Oryctolagus cuniculus: one gene and its partners. The protein of the gene in region 3 binds, or shares a complex with, the protein of the main gene of each other region. Links are inferred from orthologs where the notes say so. Each region holds a gene or a part of one and is shown on either strand. Other genes may lie near its edges.

Region 1 (4,156 bases), on a different chromosome or scaffold from region 3:
TCTCTCTCTCTCTGCCTCTCTGTAACTTCGCCTTTGAAATAAAATAAATAAATCTTTGAAAAAAAAAAAAAAAAGCTCCTGTGTTCAGTGTCCCCAGGTACCAAGACCAGAGCCTGGCACACAACAGGTGCGCGTGATGCTTGATGCTTGTGGTGTGGACTTAGGGGCGGGGGCTGTGTGTCTGAGACCTGCACAGCCCCCCAGGCCCAAGTCACCAATGTGTCCTCCTTGGTCCTCATTCCCGGTGAACGGGGACGGACCAAGACGCACAGCCCCTGCCTTCCGTAAGCTTCCCAAGGACACGCTCTGGCCCTCATGGTCACCCTGCCCTGTGCAGATCGGGCCTGGCTGGGCTCAGGGGAGCCGCAAAGTCATGAGGGCCCACTGGTGACCCCGCGCGTTTTCGCGGTGACCTCCCTTTCTTGGGTCTCTGGAGGCCGTCGGGGGGATAGGCCCCAGGCAGCACAGCGGCTAAGTCTGCAGCTGTTCCCACTGGAATAGCGAGGCAATGTGTCAGCTGACCCAGCCTCAGTCTGCCTGGCCTGTTAAACGGGCACAATGATCCTTCGACTCCCCGAAGAACGCTCTCACACTGGATAGAAAGCGACTGGCTCAGCTCCAGGCGCAGTCACTTGTGGAGGGTTGGGGACAGCACAAGGCAGGCAGGGGCTGGGCCACGAGGGCCCCCCACTCACTCGCAGAGGATGATGCCGTCTTTGAGGCCGTCCATGAAGTTGTTCCCGATGCGGCGGCCCGTCACGCCCTCGATCCACTCCCGCAGCTCCTGCTCCCGCTGGTGGTCGTACTTCTGGGCCAGCTGGGGGTGGGGGACACAGGGCGGGCGGCGGGGGGAGTGGAGGCCTTGGCTCTGGGTGTCCAACCCAAGCCTCCCTCAGCCCCGGCTTTTCCTGACCAACTAAGGCGATTCTGCCCCCACGCCCAGGGAGGGGGGCGGGTGGGCTGGGGTGGCACCTGCCCAGGGGGCCATTCCGGGCATTCTGAGGTTTGGCACCGGAGGAGAGACAAAAGGGGGCAGGCGCCCAGAGCCAGGTCCTCGGAGCTGGGTTGGAGGGGGGGCGAGGAGGCGGCGCCTGGCCTCCTGGTTCCCCCTCCAGGCCAAACTTGGGGTTTAGCTTTCCCCTGGCCCTGCCCCTTTTCGCTCCCCCTGGTGGGAAGAGGGGGCACAGCAGACGGATGGGGAGGAGGGGAGCGCGGGAGGTGCCTGGTGCCGCCGGTTGACAGGGGACTGCTCTGTCTTACATCTCTGGCTGGCTGTCTCTCACTGTCCCCCACCACCCCCACCAAGATCCTGGCCCCTGGGACTGCGTCCCGGGCGAGGGGGGTGGGGGCATCTTCTTGCCTTTGGCTGTTGACCCACTGGGCATCCGTCAGTCTGTCCGTCCGTCTGGCTGGCTCTCTCTCCCCCAGCTGCGTCAGTCTCCCCCCCACCCCCCCCCCCGTCTCCATCACGCTGGGGGTGGGGCTCCAGCATCTCTGTCCCTGTAGGCCCCCCTCTCCCGCCTTAACTCCAGCTTCCTGGCATCCCCTGAGGGTGGGGCAGGTCTGGGTGCCAGCCGGTGCCCCTGCATCCCTGTCCCCGTCTCATCCCGCGCCCCGCCCGCCCCTCCATCCGAGCCTCCAGCTCCCGGCATCTCTGTCTCCACCTCCCGTTTATCCAGAACGTTCTGCTCTGGGGACAGGGGGCATCCAGCTGCCCCTTCTCCAGGCTGGACGGGGAGCCGGGGGAGGGAGCGGCCCCCTCACCTGGCCCCGGCCCTGCCGCCCCCCTCCCCACCAGCCCAGCTTTATAAAGCAAACCGGCCCTTATATAGCGTGGCCGGACTCCCAAGGCCGCCTTATATGGCTTGGCGGCTCCGCGAGGCTCTGGGGCCGGCACTGGGAGGGGGGGAGGAGGGGGGTGGCGCTGGGATCTGTCTGCAGCCCAAGCATCCGCCCCCTCCGCCAGCCCCAACGAGACCCACCGACCTAGGTACCAATCCCAGCTCCCGGGTTCCTCGCTGCGGGACCCTGGGGAAGAGCCACCCTGACCCTCAGTGTTCCTCTCTGTGAAATGGGGCTGGGGGGCGGGGACGATTGCAGCGGGGTGGGGAATTCGGGGTCTCTGCCCTGGAGACTCCGGCTCTAGCAGTGCACCTGCCCGACCTTGGCCGCTAGCTGTTTGTTCATCCTCAGAGGCTCCGTGTACCCATCCCTAGCATGACAGTGGTGGCATCACAGCGTGTTCTCACCTCTGCACTTGGGAGCCCTCCGCCCTCCGCCCCCCACCCCCAGCCGTGTCCCTCTCCCCTCAGGTGGCCTCGCTGGGAGCCTGGCCTCTCCAGTGCTCCCCAATTTCTTGGTCCAACTGGGGGGGGGTGTGGAAAAATCAACAGGCCTCCCCCTTCCAACCCCATCGGGGCACCCAGGTTTCACACAGGCCTCCCATCCACGGTGGGACGCACACCTCTGTTTCGGGGTGACTGTGGGCCCCCCGCTGTGCTCCTCCTGATAACAGCTGAGGGTTCTGGGGTGCTGACAAGGAGGAGAGAGGCAGCCCCCACCCCTACCCCAAGCCTCTGCCCCTTCCCCTCTCAGGTTCCGGATCACATGGGGCAGGCGGGGGGGTGGGGGGACGCAGGGCACGTGGGCCAGGCCAGGGAGGCCCTGCAGCCCTACCTTGTTCTTGACCTCGGCCGACAGCCCGTAGGCGGGCCCTCGGTTGAAGTGAGCAGAGGACATGGCAGCGGGTGGGCTCTGGCTGGGCGCAGCCTGGACGCCGAGGAGCGGGGGCGGCGGCAGCTGAGGCTCCGTCTGCACCCTCTCCGCTCCTCACAGGTTTTTGAAGCTCCGGAGGCGGCCCGGGTCTCTTCCAAGGCCGTCCCATTGGCCGCAGGGGCTGGCAAGGGGGCGGGGCGGGGCGCCTCCCCCCCCCCCCCGCCGCGGCCACCCCCCTCCCTCGTGATGTCAGGGGCTTGGTATTGGGAGCTGACTATGTCATTGTTTCCACCTCGAGGGGCAGCCTGCGTTATTCCGGGTGTGTGTGTGGGGGGGTCCTGGCCAGAGAGACCAGCTTTCCTCCACCGCTGCCCCCACTGCACCCCCCCACACCTGCCCTGGGGCCCGGTCTCCAAGTCTCTGTATCCGAGGTCATCTTTGGGGCTTGAGGCAAGACCGCCACCCATGCTGACATAGCAAGCAGCCCCCTCATTTCAGACACCAACAGTCGTGCCTCAGTCAAATCCTTTGACCTCTCGGGCCTCCACTGCTGTGTCTGTGAAATGGGTTCATGGGGGGTGTTGTGAAAAGCAGGCGGCACGGTGTCCCTGCAGTGTCCCCAGCGCAGCGCCCGGCACGGGCAGTGGCTCAGGCAGGAGCATTACTCTGTAGCAGGTCCAGCAGCCCAGGTCCGGCTCCTCCTAAGGACCTGGGGGAGCAGACATCTTGGCTCTTGCCCCCTCCATGCACCTGTGCTCACCTGAGCCACCGAGTGTTTCTATTAGCAGGTCCCTGGCCACAAGCGCCCCCGCGGAGCGCTGTCCCCGAGTCTCATCTTGTACCACGGGGGTAACGCTGCACCCACACCGCACCCCCCACGCCAAGGCCATGCCAGGGGCAGCTGGACGTCAACAACCTGCCACACGCTCCTGACATGCCAAGGCCACAGCCCCCGCCCCCAAGTCCACACCACAAGCATCACGCGCACCTGTTGTGTGCCAGGCTCTGGTCTTGGTACCTGGGGACACGGAACACAGGAGCTTTTATTTTTTTTTCCAAAGATTTATTTATTTTATTTGAAAGGCGAAGTTACAGAGAGGCAGAAAGAGAGAGAGAGAGAGAGAGAGAGAGAGAGAGAGAGGTCTTCCATCCGCCAGTTCACTCCCAAGATGGCCACAATGGCTGGAGCTTCGCAGATGTGAAGCCAGGAGCCAGGAGCTCCATCCGGGTCTCCCACATGGGCCATCAGACCCTCTTCTAAAAAATACTTATTGATTCGAAAGACAGGGTGATGGGGGCGGGGCAGGGGAGAGGAAGAGACAGACAGACAGACAGTCAGAGGTATCTTCCATTGGTTGGTTCACTCCCCAGATGCCCACAACAGCCAGGGCTGGGCCAGGCCAAAGCCAGGAGCCTGGAGCTCCACCCAGGTCTCCCACTT
Region 2 (3,430 bases), on a different chromosome or scaffold from region 3:
TCAGCCGCTAATGAAAGCTGCCAGTGGTCAACTGGGCTCCTGACAGAGAACTGAGCTTTACTTGCAGACGCTATGCCAGATGAAAACAGCAAGGAAGTTTGCTAATTTCAAATCTAGTCTTGTCTAGTGAGTATGAGATTTCAGAATTGTAATATTTCTGTTCACTTCAGCTAAAACTTATTTTTGACAAATTTTCTATTCCCATCCTACTGTGACAGGTGCATGAGCTCAGCCAGGTTCTTGTCTTGTACCGTGACCTTAATAAATAAGAACCCTGGTCTGGTACATCTTAATAACTCTGACTTTGTGCTTTCTATTTTATTTTTATTTTTTGGTTCAGGCCTAAGACAAGAAGCTAGTTCAGTTTTGTAATCACCTATCTCTCTGTCTCAACCCTAGATACGTTGTATACGTGAAATCTGACAGAAGTTGGTTTAACAAATTTAGTGAAAGTTCTTGAGTCTCTGGCTACGCATGTAATGATTAGAATTTGTGTTGTCTGTGTAGACACTGACATTACAGATGAAAGATATACATAGCACCTATATCGTTTTTTTTTTTATTTTTTTGGATGGGTCTTAATCCCTCCCCACCCTACCCTATCCCCATCCCACGGGTATATTTTTATAAAAGGGAATATTTTAAGCCTCAGTTTGAGGGTTTGTTAGGTAATAAATAAAACCAATTGGCTGCTAGTCATTTATTTCCAGGACCCTCTTTAAGCATGGTACTTTAAAAAATATGAAATGGTTTCATGAATTGCTTTTTTTAACCACTCTGTCATGCCAATTTATTAAAAAGAAACAAATATCATGCATCTTTTTCCATCCTCTGTAAAAACGCATATATACCCGCTATGAGAGGTCTCAGCGTAACCCATAGCAGTTGTGCTTTTTTTCATCAATTTTTTAACTCTGTCAGAAAGAAAAGGTAACATTCAGTCTTGTCATCAGCACTGCTGGGAAATAAAATCATGAAACTTCTAGCACTGGTTTGACATGAACTCTGCGACCAACAGATGTGTGGTCCTCTCTGGTACGGTATATACACCAGCTTGCAGGAACAGACCCCACAACCATCAGTTGAAGGAGGAGAAGATCCCCGTTTCTGTACCATGGGAATCTGTCGTACCCAATCTATTACTCTTCCTCCTCTTGACAGTTCTAGCAAGGTACAGCCTCTGACTAGATTGAAGTGTTTCCTACAGTCTTTCAGAATATAATCAGAGCAAAGCAAGATCATTGCAACAATAGAAAATCTCTCTTTCCTGGTGAAAGGCTTTGCTTCAGGACCACCATGTCAACTGCTATTTTAGATTCAAACAGAAAACATGTAAAGGGCACTACTGTCATCTAAGCAAGAAGTCCTAATGCCACTGGAGTTACTGGAGCAGCATCGATCAAAGGCATCATGGTGACCCCGAGCACAAATCTTCTCTCTGTCCCTCAGGTTTGCTGGCAGCTGTGTCTCAGCAAAAGCTGTCTTCAGCAAGGCAGAAGCAGGTAAGAGAAACGCATTAGAAGTCTATGTCCCAGCCTGAGTTGTCGTCAGGTGGTGGTTCATCATTGTCCTCAGGGAAGCTGTCAAAGTTGCTAGTGTCTGTGGGTGATGCAACCTGCGAACGAGAGAGAGGGAACGCTCAAAAGTGTTCTGCTTTTTAAAGCTGGGTTCCAAGCTGGAATTGCAGAAAGCTTCTTTATTCAATCCTTTTCCAGGGATGATTTTTTTGAGTGTCTACCACATCAGAGCAGACACTGTACTTTGCATTAGGGGTGATGGTGGTAAGTAAAAATAGACATGGTCCTTAGCCTCTTGAGGTTTATATTCCAGTAGTAATAAATGTTACGGTTAAAAAGAATCGTAATAATCTACATGATGATAAACTTGAGCTAGTGCTGTGAAAAAAAAAAAAAACACACACACACAATGCCGTGAGAGTCTAAGTGTGATCGTGTTTAGTCTCTGTTGGAGACTAAACCTAAGAATCAATGTGTTGGATAAAGAAGGAATAGTACATTCTGAGGTCCTTAGATGGGAGCGAGACCCATGCTTTAGCGGCCCACTTGACTGCTGCAGAAGAGGGGGAATGAGCAAAGTAGAATGCGGTGAGGCTGGAGAAGCAGGCGGGAGCCCCATTACCTAGAGTCTGTAGGCCGTCTTAGGGAGTTTCTACCTTTATCGATACTAAGTATAATAAAAATCCTGTTCTCAACCTCAGCAAAACTCCCATGAATGGACTGGGGAAAGTCTATTCTGGAGAGCATCAGTGGAGCCCATTTAATGTTACTGTTGAAGGAGACTCCTGCTGTATTAATGGTAGGATAAAACAGGTGGAATATTTACCCTTCTAGCTTCTTACTGTTGTTCTAAAAGCAGAATTACAAGCATGCAATTAACATCTGTAATGTGAGCCATAGTAACAGCAGTTTTGCTTTGTTTATGAAGAAACAATATTGGCACAAAAATACATCTTGGAAATGGCAGAATTTTTCAGTACAATGAAGAGTCTTGAGTTAGTCTCGAGAGAGGCCTTTTATAAATACAAGTCTCAGGACCACAGAACAGCCCTCTACACGTCAGGATGCCTCAGATTTTATTAAACAGATGTGGTACTGCTTACAAATTGTAAATGCAATCAATTCAAAACTATGCGTGACAAAAAATCCCAAGGTAGTAAGAAAAGAGCATCTCTCAGAGCCCGGTGGAAGGATGAGAGGACACAGTTGTGCCTGGACTGCGTCCAGTTTAAGGGAGAAGGATGGGAAGAACCACGTGGGAACGTGAATGAAACAGCACTGGACAGCAAGAGTGGCTGCTGAAACCAGCTGCTGCAGAATAATCATGCTCATTGGTCTACATCCTTATGTGTCTAACATTTCCCATACTAAAAGTTAACTTTTACTGAGATGAGAAATTTGAAGTAAAAGAAATAGCTAAAAAAAAAAATGAAATACCTATACAATAACTATCCCCAGTTGCTTGGTTTTTAGGATATATCATGATTTTAATGTAGCTCTTCTGCAGTAGTTCATTTAATCTGATCATAGGATAAAACTTAAAAAAACCATGAAGAGATCTTTACTGACCAGTAAAGCATGCCAACAAATATCTCCCACAATTAAAAGTTGGGCCATCTACTTACACTTGGTATTATAGGAGGTGTCAAGGTGCCTTTTCTTAAACCTTCCCAGTTAAAGCCTTCAAACCATCTAGAAGAAGAGAGAGGTAAAGTCATTTCACTCCATCTAAACCCTTGTCATTACAACACACACCATATTTGTATTGATAAAAAGCAGTTACACAAATGTTTTCATGTGATAAAGTATTTTCTATTTAATTGCAGAATTGGCTCATTGTATGAAATATTTTTAAAGTTTAATGGTCAAATTTAAAATCCTAGTTAACATGGAACTCTATTTTTCTCCTTGTA
Region 3 (3,646 bases):
CTCCTGCATACAGCTCTCCCTTCAGGGGTTAAGTTCAGAGGCATGTGACACTGCCAAGGGTAGAGAGCATGCTAAAGAGACGACTGTGTGGTCTGGACGGTGAGTTGGAGACAGTTCTCCTGCAAAGGGTATAACAGGCTGGCGACAGCCCAGGGCCTGGAGGGAACCTGTTTCCACCACTAAGGTGAGGGGCAAGAGGAGTGTGCGAGTGTGTGCTTGTGCGTGCACTTCCAAGGATGTGTCTTCCAGGTACGGAGGATGCCGATGGGGGGTGCAGAAGCAAGGCACGTCCTCAACAAAGCAGGGAGAGCAGGCTCACTGCCTCACCAAACAGTGAACTGCAGCGAACAGGTTTTTGGCAGATTCCAGCATCAATTCTCAAAAACAAGCAACAATTTACCACAATACTCTTTTTCTTTTTTCCCCCCAAAACCTTCTATTTCAGGTATACAAACTTCATGCATTTCACAAACATAACTTGAGGAACACGGTCATTCTTCATCTCACTGTTATACAAGGGGTGGACCTGGTCACCCCACTTCTAGGAAACACTTGCATCCACTCACAGAGCATGTGCTGGAGCTCACTGTTCACCGTGCAACGGTGGGGGACAGGAATCAGCCTAAAGGCCCACCGGCAGTGCACTAAGCACGGGAGCCGCCAGCATTAAGAGCACCGACGGGAAGCTCCACATCCATTCCTGTGTCCCAGCATAACCCGCTCCAGGGCCAAGTAAAGAAAAGCAAAGAACACAAGAGTGTCCACCACACGCTCCCATCCAAAGGCACAGAAGAGGACTGACAGATGCAGTCCAGAGCAGCACAGCTCTCTGTGCAGAGAAGCTCCTGTCACTGAAAACTTGCTTTCACTGAAACCTTTGGAAAAAGGACACACTCCTGTATTCTTGGCACAATTAAAGTATCTGTAACTGACAACTGAGTTGAACACCCAACACATCATCAAATAAACATCCCTTCCCCCCACAACTTAACCTAAGTCCCTGCACTTAACAGCCATCATCAGGTCCAGGCCGAAGTGGGAGATGGAGCGTGTGACTCTTCCTAACGGCCACAGGAGCCAGAGGGCTTCCCAGGCACGTCTAGCTTGCTGCAGCTCCCATGGCAAGACGGCTGGTCGGGCCTGCGCACACTAGGGTTGGGGAGGAACACTCAGGGGAGGAGCAGAAGAGGAAGGACCCTCCGAGACTGACGTTGACAGTATCGCTCCCAACGCCTGACTGCCTCACGGCCCCACCACACCCCTCGCTGGTTGAGACCATCTACCTGCCTGATGACACTTGGCCACTGCGGCCACCCAGAACCAACAACAAAATGAGCACAAGGTATCTGGAGCAGTCAGTCCGTCAAAGATCTGAGCACCCGTTTGCATGACACACTGGAAGTAGCCACACAGCCCTGAGCAACAAGGACGTCATGAGTCGAGTCCGTCACCGTGTGCGCATCGTGTCCCTGACCCAGCCCTCCCCCAGGTTGTGCTACAACCGGCAACGCAGCAGAGTGCTGCCACCAGAACTTCCCATTGCCGAGGTTTTGTCAACCTCACCTAGCTGACGCACTTGCTTACTTGGCCCTCCGTCACCCATCCAACTTTAATCCGAGAACCCAGATGCCAAACTGTGGCAGATCACCAGACACACGTGCACACGTTCCCGCACACGTTCCCGCGTTCCCATGCATACTAAGCAAATACACAAGGGGTCTCCACCAAGTTCATGGCAATGTGTATTACTGAAAAACTATGCACGGACGTCAAAACATTTTTTATCAAAATGAACCTATATTTAAACTAAGTTTTCTGTGAACTTTCTGAAGTCCCCTTGCACACAGAGCAGGTGGGGGAGACTCAGGGTCCCTCTCTAGCCCTGTGGAGACAGTGGGACAATGATTGGAGGGAGGGGTGAAGAGGAGGGGAAGTGGGAGGGGGTGGGGGAAGGCCTGATTGCCCCGCCCATCTCACCTGCAGGTCTCGGTTGTGGTTTTCACACAGCAGCTGCAGGAAGCGGAGGATGGGCTGCATGATGGTGATGACAGCGCTCATCTCCAGCTCGTCCTTGGTCTTGTCGGCCGTGGCCTGTGCGCCCTCGCCCGGCTGATAGTGGTCGTCTGGGTCAGCCTCCCTCCTGAACGTGGAGAAGGCCTTCCTGGTGGCAGCGGACGCCTCCAAGAGCTGATCCCGCACCTCCTCCGTGATCTGGGTTGAGGGCTCCTTGGCTGCAAGGCAAGTGTGGGACAGCAGGTGCAGCTGTGTCCTTAGGACGGTCAGCAACCCGAGACCCCATGCTCACTACAGACCCGTGAAGTTAGGGCCTCCCTCAGTCCCTGGACAGCACTAACACTGTGCGTCGGACCTGGACTCCTGGCTCCCAGTTTTAACACTGATCTTAGCCTGCACACAAGTCCTGTCATCCTCACAACACTAAGGCTCTGGGCCTCAGCTTCCTCGCCTGCGCAATGGGACAAGTGAATTCTGCCTAGACAAAGTCCCTGTGAGGCTCCAAAGCCTGCTCATCACAACAATAACTGCTGTTACAGTATCACCACTGATTAACCCTTTCCCAGGTGCCACGGCACCGTGACCCAGAACTTGGTGTGTAGTATTTCACCCAATTGTCAGACTAGCCCCAGAAGCTAATCATGGCCTGAGGGTGAGCAGAGAAGACTGGCTGGGTTCCAACACCAGCTCCCCTGGGCCCTGAGCAAGTGCATCCCCATCTGTGAGCCTCACCTGGCTCAGCTATGCAGTGGGGTAACAGTAAGGGGCGTCTCACAGCAGGCACCTAGGGCATGCAGACACCCTCTTCCCTCGTCTTCCTTCTTGTCACTCCACTCTAGACCAGGGGTGATGTCCCCCAACCCCAGCCAGGGCACAGCTGCACTGCATGCTGACAACCTGGGCTGGGGAACGAGGCCACGTGTGCTGCACAGGACACATCTGGCAACACGGCAGCCTCCAGGTGTCACTGGTGCTATGGCAGAGAAGCCGAGTCCCCAACTGGGCCAGTGGGGTTCAGGTTCCCAGATGTCAATCAACACACTTTTGGCCTTCTCACTCCAGCCCCCTGGGCCTGGCCACACCCTTGGCCTTGGCTGACTGGACTCCCAGGGAGACTACAGACAGGAAGCTGTGACAACTCCCAAATATCTCACATGGTACAGGGAGGTCACCTGACAGGGGCCAGCTTCCTCTGACACGAAATGGGAGCCGCAGGACCAGACTCTGGGTGGACCCTCAAGCTTGGTCCAGAAGAAGGTGCCATGGCTCTGCAGCACAGGGCCTCAGTGAGAATCCCACCAAGCCAGGGAGGTACTCCTCTCCTTGGGGCCGGGGTGAGAAGCAGCGTGGGCATCTGGAAGCCGCAGAAGAGCGCTCACCTTTCTTCCGAGACGGGGCATCCCTGTCCACCTCGTCGTCTTTCTTCTTGTTCCCCAGGTCACTGGTGTTCACCGTCACAGTCGCCTTGATTTCCTGCTGGGCCACTTTCATCCTGTCGTAAAAGACCTTGAAGAACTTTTCCGACTTCTTATCTTCAGTCAACCGGCAGAAAAAAGAATGCTGGGAGGAAACCAGAGAATCTCAGCACGGAGAGCAAGGCCAGGCACCAAGTCCCACTCACGGCCCCAAAAGC

The links.
Region 1: ITPR1 (region 3) and CNN1 share a complex: the UniProt entries of both Homo sapiens proteins name them as parts of the cGMP kinase signaling complex. The link is inferred for Oryctolagus cuniculus from reciprocal best matches to the Homo sapiens genes ITPR1 and CNN1.
Region 2: ITPR1 (region 3) and PRKG1 share a complex: the UniProt entries of both Homo sapiens proteins name them as parts of the cGMP kinase signaling complex. The link is inferred for Oryctolagus cuniculus from reciprocal best matches to the Homo sapiens genes ITPR1 and PRKG1.

Annotation. Positions count from the first base shown.
Region 1 is NC_091447.1:66,349,651-66,353,806, forward strand, and holds the start of CNN1 (calponin-1), read right to left. Parts: upstream 2,835-4,156; 5' UTR 2,740-2,834; coding exon 2,677-2,739; intron 818-2,676; coding exon 696-817; intron 1-695. UniProt on the Homo sapiens protein: Thin filament-associated protein that is implicated in the regulation and modulation of smooth muscle contraction. It is capable of binding to actin, calmodulin and tropomyosin. The interaction of calponin with actin inhibits the actomyosin Mg-ATPase activity.
Region 2 is NC_091446.1:45,335,498-45,338,927, reverse strand, and holds part of PRKG1 (cGMP-dependent protein kinase 1), read right to left. Parts: intron 3,210-3,430; coding exon 3,143-3,209; intron 1,616-3,142; coding exon 1,517-1,615; 3' UTR 1-1,516. UniProt on the Homo sapiens protein: Serine/threonine protein kinase that acts as a key mediator of the nitric oxide (NO)/cGMP signaling pathway. GMP binding activates PRKG1, which phosphorylates serines and threonines on many cellular proteins.
Region 3 is NC_091441.1:120,982,543-120,986,188, forward strand, and holds part of ITPR1 (inositol 1,4,5-trisphosphate-gated calcium channel ITPR1), read right to left. Parts: intron 3,574-3,646; coding exon 3,393-3,573; intron 2,232-3,392; coding exon 1,978-2,231; intron 1-1,977. UniProt on the Homo sapiens protein: Inositol 1,4,5-trisphosphate-gated calcium channel that, upon inositol 1,4,5-trisphosphate binding, mediates calcium release from the endoplasmic reticulum (ER).